3 linked regions of the Yarrowia lipolytica genome follow. The protein of the gene in region 1 purifies or fractionates together with the protein of each later gene. This does not show direct contact. Links are inferred from orthologs where the notes say so. Each region holds a gene or a part of one and is shown on either strand. Other genes may lie near its edges.

What was found.
Region 2: the proteins of YALI1_E25866g (region 1) and YALI1_B29108g purify together in Saccharomyces cerevisiae (affinity purification with mass spectrometry; 3 studies listed by BioGRID, with this or other methods). This does not show direct contact. The link is inferred for Yarrowia lipolytica from reciprocal best matches to the Saccharomyces cerevisiae genes RPT4 and RPN7.
Region 3: the proteins of YALI1_E25866g (region 1) and YALI1_B15092g purify together in Saccharomyces cerevisiae (affinity purification with mass spectrometry; 5 studies listed by BioGRID, with this or other methods). This does not show direct contact. The link is inferred for Yarrowia lipolytica from reciprocal best matches to the Saccharomyces cerevisiae genes RPT4 and PRE1.

What each region holds. Positions count from the first base shown.
Region 1 is NC_090774.1:2,584,896-2,588,530, reverse strand, and holds YALI1_E25866g (uncharacterized protein), read right to left. Parts: upstream 1,946-3,635; coding exon 527-1,945; downstream 1-526. Other genes in the region: YALI1_E25889g (uncharacterized protein), read left to right, coding at 1-257; YALI1_E25859g (uncharacterized protein), read left to right, coding at 2,577-3,635. UniProt on the Saccharomyces cerevisiae protein: The 26S proteasome is involved in the ATP-dependent degradation of ubiquitinated proteins. The regulatory (or ATPase) complex confers ATP dependency and substrate specificity to the 26S complex.
Region 2 is NC_090771.1:2,908,817-2,912,500, reverse strand, and holds YALI1_B29108g (uncharacterized protein), read left to right. Parts: upstream 1-1,722; coding exon 1,723-3,147; downstream 3,148-3,684. Other genes in the region: YALI1_B29080g (uncharacterized protein), read right to left, coding at 3,260-3,684. UniProt on the Saccharomyces cerevisiae protein: Component of the 19S cap proteasome complex which acts as a regulatory subunit of the 26S proteasome, involved in the ATP-dependent degradation of ubiquitinated proteins.
Region 3 is NC_090771.1:1,507,978-1,511,156, reverse strand, and holds YALI1_B15092g (uncharacterized protein), read left to right. Parts: upstream 1-1,954; coding exon 1,955-2,614; downstream 2,615-3,179. Other genes in the region: YALI1_B15109g (uncharacterized protein), read right to left, coding at 1-183. UniProt on the Saccharomyces cerevisiae protein: Non-catalytic component of the proteasome which degrades poly-ubiquitinated proteins in the cytoplasm and in the nucleus. It is essential for the regulated turnover of proteins and for the removal of misfolded proteins.

The sequences.
Region 1 (3,635 bases):
ACTTCAACTCGTTCAGGACTGGCTTTTTTGTGCCATTCAGAACGATCCCGGATCTGAAAGTCCCAAGTCTTGACGCCTGGATGGTCTCACAGGAGAAACTCATCAAGGGGGACATTGTGGTGGATGGAGAGAACTTTGGGAACAAGTTTGCAAAGGCCAAGAGAAGACTGGATGAGGATTTCCACAAAGCCACGATTCACGGTATTCCAGAGGAGGTGGAGGATGATGATTATAGGGTGATGGAGATGATCTCTTAAGAGACAAGTGGCCATAGATAACGAAGGACATTCATATGGAAATTGATGACATTATAACGAAAGCATGCTCATGATACAAGTAGCAACCAGGTCGTTTTCTCTCAGTACGATCTCGATGGAGTGTAATAGTTGACAACGTAGCTGAACATGGCAACATCGTGATAAACTCATTATCAGTATACATCATATGCCACAGCTGAAACATAATAGTGCTTTGGCACTACAGGCAAACTACACTCTCACTTGCGATTAAATGCTTAACTAGTCTACTACAACTTCTCGTACTCGAGCTTACCCTCCAGCTTCTTGTTCTCGGACACCTTTCTGCAGGCCTTGAGCAGATCGTTCTGAACAATGTAGTCCCGATCGTCTCGGATGGCAAAGAAGCCAGCCTCGGTGACCACGTTTCGGATATCTGCTCCGTTGAAACCGTCGCTCATCTTGACCAGGGCCTCGTAATCGATTTCGCCCTGCTTCTGAACGCCAGCAGCGTGGATCTTAAACACCTCCAGACGGCCGGCCTCGTTGGGCAGTGGGATCTCGATCTTTCGGTCCAGACGGCCTGCTCGCAGCAGGGCGGGGTCCAGAGTATCGGGCCGGTTGGTGGCCATGATGACCTTGGTCTTTCCGAGATAGTCGAAACCATCCATCTGGTTCAGCAGCTCCATGAGCGTTCGCTGGATTTCTCGGTCGGAGGAGGTTCCCTCGGAAAATCGACGTCCTCCAATGGCGTCCACCTCGTCCATGAAGATGATACAGGGCTCGTGTTCCTTGGCGTATCCGAACATTTCTCGAATCAGACGGGCAGACTCTCCAATGTACTTGTCGACGATAGCTGAGGCGGGCGAGAAGATGAAGTTTGCGCCAATAGTGGCGGCCACGGCCTTGGCCAGCAGGGTCTTTCCTGTTCCGGGAGGGCCGTACAGAAGCACACCCTTGGGAGGCTTGATTCCGACTCGCAAAAACAGCTCGGGGTTCTTCAGAGGCAGCTCAATGACCTCTCTGAGTTCACGGATCTGCTCGTTGAGGCCACCGATACCGGAGAAGGTCAGCTCTCCAGGCTCAAACGTGGTCATGTTGTAGACAAGAGGATCGACCTCTCGGGGAAGAATTCGCATGATAGTCAGAGTGGTCATATCCAGAGACACACGCACACCCTGCAGCAGCTTCTCCTTCTTGATGCTGGACCGACAGCCCACAATGTATCGGGGGCCGTTGGAGGCTTTGACGATGAACCGCTCCTCATCCAGCTGCTTAAGAACCTCGCCAATCAGCTGGCCTACCGACTGTAGCGCCTTGATGTCGTCCTCGGTCTTGTCGAATTTGCGCTCGAGGTCTCTGATGCCCAGTCGCAAGTCCTTGAGCTTGACCTCGTACTCTCGATGCTCCTTGAGTTTTCTCTTGAACGACTCGATCGCCTTTTCCCGCTCGGGATCTGTGGGTGTGGCAGCCACCTCGGGCGCCTCCTGGTTGAGAGCTGCGAGCAGCGGGTCGTTTTCCATGTTGTGTGTGTTGTGGTGTGTTGTACTGATGTAGTAACTGGAGCGTTGAGGTTCTAATATGTGAAGTGGTGATGCACCTCCCAATATTAGTGTTTGGTAGAAGAGTGGCGTATGGTGGCGAGGTGAGTGAAGGTGAGAGTACAGTAATGACAAATATAGACAGAATATCGGGGAATAAATGATCATCAATCGCTTTTATATTCCTCACTTATTGCTCTCAATATCCCCATTACTCCACAACTACTCTAAAACCTCGTATTCTGACACCTTCCACAGGATTACGTGAGGTAACAGAGTCTGGATGGGTATGGGTGGACCCATTCGCTCTTGGTGGTTATGCAACCACAGATCTAGTAGAGGTACCCGTAGTTGATGTGCTGTAATATAGACACAATGACAAATCCATAAATAAAGTGAGAAACCCCATTGAGGAGAAAGAGGTGTACATCTAATTATTGATTACATAAGCGTATAAGTAACTTAACCAAATTGTCACATTACTTCACCCAACAGTTGAACTATCTTTCATTTTACTTCAGAATGACTTTGAATATAGGTCTATCCAACTCTACCAATATAGATCCCACATATAATCTGAAAAGTGCATTCTTCTTGTAATTTCTCAGACAATCTGCTTCCATCATTATCTTATCGATAGGATATCTCCACATCTTGTTACAGACACCGCCATCCCCGTCAAATAAACTCCGATGCAAGCTCCATGTGCAGTGAAATTTATTAGCATTGAAAAGAAGCACATAAAAGATCACATAAAGCACACACCACCACCACTCTGTGCTAAATCTCCTCTGCTACAATGGGAGCCGACTTCAAAGTGTTCATTCTGTGCGGCCAGGGCAAAAACATGGCACCTCTCTCGTCCGTGAGAGCGTCTGGAGTGCCCAAGGCCCTTCTTCCCATGGCCAACGTGCCTGTGATCGACTACACCCTCAAATGGTGTGAGACCATCCCCAACCCCAAGGTGTTTGTGTGCTGTTCTACAGCTGACGAGGCGGAGATTTCCGCCTACGTGGACTCTTTCAAGGCTGAGCACTCCACCTCAGTTGTGGCTTCCAACGTGACTATCTGTTCCAAGACCGATGCGAAGTCTGGAGACTTCATTCTGGAGCTGACTCGAGGGGAACCCTCTGATTTCATTGTGGTTTGCTGCGATTTTATCACAGACATTCCCGCCAGCTCGCTGGTCGACACCTACCGAAGCCGAGACTCGGACTCGCTTCTCACAGCCTTCTACTACCCCAATACCCTGGAGAACGTGGACAAGAAGTCATTGCTCAAGGACGTGACGGTGCACTCATCGCTGGACTCGCGAACCCCGCGGCTGCTGGACTCGTATTCGCGTGACTACATTGAGAACAAGAAGACCATGCCCATCCGCCGATCCATGCTGTGGCACTTCCCTAAGTCTTTGGTCTCCACACAGCTGCTCAATGCGTCCGTCTACTTCTGCACTGCCGACGTGTGTAGAGTCATCACCGAGACTCAGGCTGCCCCTGAGGAGGATTCCACAGACGAAGATCCCGACACCCGATCTTCGTCGCCTGTCAGACAAGAACAGGAGGAGGCACACACCATTCTGGCCAAAGGCCGACAGTGGGACCGAGTGGTTCGAGACATTGCCCGACGGTCGTGGGCACATGCGAAGCCGCTCAAGTCTGTGTCTCTGTGCGTTCTGGACTCCAATACCTTTGCACGAGCAAACAACCTGTCTGCATACATGGAAATGAACCGAGTGATTCTGAAGGCAAGAGCCAAGGCCAACGCCACTGCCCAGAAGCCCGCTCCAGCTGTTAAGGGAGCTGCCACTGTTGGTGTCGACTCTCTGGTCGGCGAAGAGACCCAGCTGGGCGAGCGA
Region 2 (3,684 bases), on another chromosome or scaffold:
ATTCCCCACTGCCCACGGGCCGACCGACGTCATAGATACGCCTGCTCTCCGCATACTGCCGCAGTTACGACGCACCGTTGATACCATTGCCTTGCTATAAGTGGCGAATAGGCCTAGATTGGAAGTACAGGAAGTACAGTAGCTCGGGTCACAACAACGGTGAAGCCAAAGGTGAATTGGAATACGTTCTACAAGTACTATTTTGGTACTCAACAATAAATCGCGTGCCATACACGTCCTGCTGGTAGCACACGTCCACCGGTTCCAGGCGCAAGTGGGTGGGATCATGCATCTTTTCGGAGCAAACTGCGTAGTCACAATGGTCTAAGAACTTTATGCCTTGACAAAGAAGAGGTGAGCCGAACGTGAGATGTGTGAGAGTACATCCTGATAGGCAGCCAGAGTGACTCAGGCAGTGGTGACTGTGTTGCAACATCACTGTGCACTTGTACTCGAACTTGAAGCATCGAACCGTTTCTGCTCCATGCTCTCCCCTCCATTACACTCTACCCTCACTAAGGTGGATTCCACTGCAGGTACAAGCTACGGAGAGAAGGTAAAACCGAGGTAGACTACAGTAAGTCTCTGGCACGATTACGATACGATACTCTTAGGGTCTGGAATTGTGATATTTTTACACCCTGCTAACATTATTCCATGATGGAACGGTCCGATGTCCTTCCCCCCCCCCCACCCGTCATCCCCCCACCCCACACCTTTTTTTGTTGCAGGTCTCGAAGTCTAGAAGAGTCTCGAACGAGGCTGGATGGGATGCTCCTATCTTGAACAGCTATACAGTCGTAGAGTATAATAACCGGTATAATGACTGATATATGTGTGATAGAAGCCTGTGTATAGTGCAAATGTCTTCTATATGTTGTCTTCGTCTCAATTGGAATGACCCACCTTCTATACAAGTTTCCAGTATGTAAGTACAGTACATATTGTACTTCTACAAGTAGTTTGTCTACATACCCACCCCTCATACCATTACACCCTTACATATTGCACCACGCAAAATCAAGTTTGACATACTTATTATTACCCCACTGAAGAGAATGTAAAGGTGGGGATAACTGAGAGAGTGTCAGGGCAATTGCTCTTTTTCTGGTGTTATAATGGGGCCAACTGTGCCGTCAGGGCTGTTCGCACTATGGTAATGATCGTACATACTGTAGCTAACCTCAGCCCTCAATCAATTCAGGAAACAAGTCAGTTCAGGGAGCATATTGATTAGTCATTGGGCGTATATAAGGGGAAATTGTTCATATTACTGACTGTATGTCTCTTTTCAAAGACATCTTTTTCATTTCCTTGTACAGTGTTGCTTCTGATCTTCTTGAGAGTGTTGAACAAGTTTGAGTGCGCCCTATTTCTCCCACTTGAATAATACTACCAGATCAACACACGCACCATCGCACGAACCACTTTAACCATGGATTTAGCAGAGAGGGAAATTTTCAAAATAATTCGAATAAAAATTGTATAAATTTAAAACCTCCTTTAAAATGAAGTTGATGCCGCCAATTGAGTCTATCAAACAGATTTTACTTGCAATTATGACCACCATTCACCTCCGTTAGTTGCCACCCAACGCCACCCACCACCATCATCATATTACCTAATGATCCCAAACTTTACCACCACATCAACCACCACATCACACAGCACGTATCACGAACCTCTCAACCCGCAACACACTACAACCACTGGTACATTGCAATGACAGAAGAGAAAAAAGCCATCCCCGACTACGAGCTCAGCAAGCATCTGTTTGTGCTGCGAAACCCGTCGCTCAAGGACCTTCATCCCGAGGCCAAGGAGGCCCTCATGACGGCCATCTTTGATCGCAACCTCGCTGGCGTCTACAAGTCGCTTTACAACTTTGACCAGAGCCAGAGCACAGAAACGTCTGGAGGCGTCGTGGTGGATGTTCCCGAAGACCAGCAGGGCCAGATTGGCCACGAGGGAGAGAGCCCCTCCGAGGACGTTGATATGGAGGAGGTCAAGGCCGAGGTGGCCGATGGCAAGACCGTGGAGGAGGTGGAGGAGAAGATTGTGGATAGCAAGCCGCAGCCCATCACACAGATCATCGTGCCTGCCAACACTCCGTCCGAGTCGTTGGCTCAGTCCGTGCCTGCTTTCTCCAAAGCCAAGTACGACAAGATGGTGGCAGCCAATGACGCACGCGTGGCCGAGCTGAGAGAAGCCATTGCCCAGGTGGAGAAGGACGACGGCGGAGAACTGGAGCTGCTGCAGGCCCGAGTCAAGCTTGGAGAGTACTACGCCGAGATTGGCGACCGGTTCAACGCCATCCTGACCCTGCGAAAGGCCGCAGAGACCACCTCTACTGGTGCCAAGATCGACATCCTATTCACCATTGTGCGCCTGGGCTTCTTCTACCTCGATTGCGCCTTTGTGGGCCGAGAACTGGAGGCCGTTAAAGTGCTTATCGAACGAGGAGGAGACTGGGAGCGACGAAACAAGTACAAGACATACTGGGGCCTGCACTGTCTGTCAATCCGAAAGTTCGAGGAGGCTTCCTCGTGTCTCATTGACTCTTTGTCTACCTTCACCTCTGTTGAAATCGCCTCCTACGAGGAGATTGTGGAGTATGCTATCATTGCTGGAGCTGTGGCTCTGGATCGAGTCGATCTGAAGCGAAAGATCATCGACTCACCCGAGGTGCTGTCTTTGCTGCCCACCACCCCTGCTCTTGGTCCCATTGCCACTCTCACCAACTCGCTGTACACTGCTGAGTACTCTGTGCTGTTCACCTCTCTGGCCCAGCTTGAGACCCAGTCTCTGCGACCATCAAAGTACCTGGCACCCCACAGAGCCTTCTACGTGCGGGAGATGCGACGAAAGGCCTACGCACAGCTTCTGGAGTCTTACAAAACGCTGTCTCTCAAGAGCATGGCCAATGCATTTGGAGTGTCGTCCCAGTTTCTGGACAACGACCTCTCTAAGTTTATTTCTCAGAACAAGCTCAACTGTGTGATTGACCGGGTCAACGGTATCATTGAGAGCAACCGACCCGACTCCAAGAACGCCCAGTACCAGGCTCTGATTAAGCAGGGAGACGCTCTGTTGACCAAGCTGCAAAAGTACGGTGCTGCTGTTCGACTGAGTGGTGCTGAGAAGTAAGGTGGTAGATGTATGAACATAGATCTTAATTGTAGATGATGATAACTAGTGAGGATATGATCTGTAGAACCATGAGTAGATATATATTGAGATATTTATATAGTTTACATGGTCAATTCCCTTCAGGCATGTAGAAGACAGGCTCGTAGACGCCATCCATAGCCAGCTTCTCTACAGCATGGATACTAGATGCCTGTCTCTCTACGGGTCCAAAATCCAGCAGGCAATTGATTTCGACCGTGATTATGAAGCGGTCCAACAGTGTCATTATCGCTTCCAGCACATCTTTCCCTTCTTCTGGGACAATTTTACTGTTGTGCCACTGAGAAGTTCTCCAGACTTGTCTGGCTTGTGCAATTGTTTTGGGAATTCCAGCACTGGTGCTTCTGATCTGCCACAGATAGTGCTCTCTTCTGTACGAGATGATCTTGAGAGCCTGGAGCACAGCTGCGTATGCCACCCGAGTTTTGGTTTGCGTTGTTCCTACTAGTGGTCCTGAAAAGTTGCACTCGTTTGACTGGCCAAAGTAACAGCCCA
Region 3 (3,179 bases), on another chromosome or scaffold:
AGTCTCGGGTTGTCGCGTCTCTGGAATCTCAGGAAGAGGCTCCTCAATTTGTTCCATGACATCGTTCATGATAGCATCATACAGCCCCTGCTGTGGAAGTCGTGGAGAAGATGAAGGTGGCACAGTGATGTCAGTTGGGGGCTCCGCGGTCGATACGGGCGAAGAGGGCTCGGATACTGTCATTTGAGCTGTAGTATATGTTGCGTGGGGTAGGTGTGCCGATTTGAGATGTCAACTGTAGAGGACAAAAAAAATGAAGGTGCAGTACGATGCTAAACGCGTCTCTCCAAGTTGGGAATCAATTTAACTCCACGCGTTGCGAAAGACGTGATTAGAGTTGGGGGGTATTATAAATGACAAATAAGACATGGGGAGATATCCATCATACTGTACATTGAGGATCAAAAAGATATTGCTGATATATACATATACTACTTACTAAAACGGTTATATTTATTATAAAGCTACCGTTGTCTGTAAAAGATGGACTTTTCCAAGGATATTTCCTTCTATTAGGCATAGGGGACTGCGACGAGTGGATGCTGGCTGAGAGTGATCGCATGAAAACAATACTGTGAATGTTCCACTGAGACTAAATGAGAGGGATGCAGGTTTGGTTAATTGCCAGTCCTATTTGTACGGTAAGATGCTTGACTGTTCTCTTCCCTACTGTGTCTATATCTGTGAGGTTCATCCAATCCTATATTCTCAGAGAGCCTTGCAGATGTTCACTCTGCATGAGTCTGTATGGTTTGTCAGTGTCAAGTGTTGCACTATTCTCCCTCTGATAGTGTAAGCATGAATAAAAACAATAGATGGTTACAGATAGTTGTATAATTCTATGAGTGAGCTTGCCAAAGATGCTACTTTCTTTAATAGCATCGTGTGGTTCTGTACAGTGGTCTATGTAACTCCTTGCCCTGTTCACATTGCAACTTCGACACTGGAGCTCGTTATACAACCTACAAGCTCCTCGAGCTCGTGTTGAAGGTATCACATCGATCTCTGCCACACAAATGTCTCTTACAGCGACTGTTCGGACATGACGGAGGGAATAATGAGGTAGCTATCCATGACGCATGACGCCAGCTACAGTACCCACTGTACATACGGTATCATCGGCATAACGTGAGTGATGGCATCGACAGAGATATGACGAGTGATCACTGAAATTTTCAATCCCCATCTTCGCGTCCCTTTACTCCCCGTGTAGCTTCTCGTTTTTGTTTCTCGTTTATATATCCCCTTTGACGTCAGTTGCGCGAAATATTGTTTGAATCGAGATTTGCAACAAAAGTGCCCTGTGGCTTTGAACATAGCCATACCGTACATGATTAAGACAGAAAATGAAACCAAAATACCTGTAAGCATTGAAAACCTGCCCTTTTATTTCCTTTTCCACTATTTGACCAACTGTTCAACCCCAAATAATGTTCAACTAACTCCATTCTTTAGTTATCCAATTTGTTATGAATGTAATTGGGAACAATGGAGACATTTTGTTCTCCGAAAAGTAGAACACCTCAATTAATTACAGCAGCTAGCTAAACTTGTCATTGGATGTCATTATAGACAGACAAGAAATCATTGATATGAACTAATAGGTGGACTAGTTTCACCTCAAATGTGTTATTGCAATCGCTTCAGCATAACCCCTACAATCAGCCTGGTACCACTCAAATCAGCTTACTAATCAGCACACCCAACGACAACAAAGACACACGACTCCAAGCAAGTGTCTCCATCTCAAACAACTATCGTCAATCAATCTTTTGCCCTTATCATTAATCATTGATCAGACCCGGTCATTCCATCCCATTGGACTAAGTACTGGTACCAATAGCACTTCATAACCGCCACCTGCACGTGACGCCACCTAACCTTGCCACCTTGTGTATCTGCATCACTACTGACTCTCTGAGACCCATCCAACACCACACTACACAATCACAAGATGGATATCGTTCTGGGACTGCGAATCAAGGGCGGAGTGCTGGTTGCCACTTCCAAGGCTGCCACCCGAGGTATTTCCGTCATCAAGGTCGGTGACGACAAGACCAGAGAACTCAACCCCAACACTCTGATGGCCTACACCGGAGAGGCAGGAGACACAGTCCAGTTTGCCGAGTACATCATGGCCAACACTCGACTGTACGGCATCCGACACGACATTGAGCTGTCTCCTTCTGCCGTCGCCTCCTTCACTCGAAACCAGCTGGCTAAGGCCCTGCGATCACGAAAGCCCTATCAGGTCAACGTCCTGATTGCCGGATTTGATCCCAAGACTGAAAAGCCCACCCTCAATCTCATCGATTACCTAGCCTCCAACGTGGAGTTGCCTTATGCCGCTCACGGCTACGCCGCTTATTACACAATGTCGCTACTGGACCGACACTGGAAGGAGGGTATGACCCAGGAGGAGGGAGTGGTCCTCATGAGAATGTGCATCAAGGAGCTGCAGACCCGTCTGCCCGTGGATTTCAAGGGCGTCTACGTCAAGGTCGTGGACAAGGATGGCATTCGAGACGTCTCTGCTCTGGTCTACCCCGACGAGTACCCAGAAGCTGAGGTGACTGAGGAGCTGGAGGTCCAGCAGGGAGAGATCGCTGCTTAATCAGTATTGTTGATTGAGCATAGCGGGATCAATGAGCGCATCTAAATGAATGGACGAGGTCATTGAGAAACTGGCGGTTTGTGCTGAGCATTGAGCTTCCTACAAGATCGCAATTGGTAGATTATAACTATTATATTTTTATGTTAAGACGGTAACAGCAGTAGAAACTGATGACGTGCACTATGTTACAAGTACAGGTACTGTACTGCAGTATGTGTCGGCGACAGTCTGGGCAGCTATGTATCTGTTAGTTAAGGCGTTCCAACCTCCGGAGGCCGCCGGAATTCCTTGGACATGAAGTATGGTCCATTGCATGCCTTCTGGTGTTCTTCGAGTTCCTCGCGGGTAAAAAATCTGTTATGGTGCTGGCAATAATATGGGTCAACAACGATCATGACGAGAGAAGTATGGTGTGTGGTTGCTGGTGGTTAGTAATGCTGATGATGCAGTGAACAATGATGGTGCAGTAACAACTACTGTATAGTTGTTTGTTTCCAGTTGTTCAATTGCGCATCCAAGTTCTTTGGTTATGCTAGTTGCTGTTGATTTGTGTGTCACGTTCTCC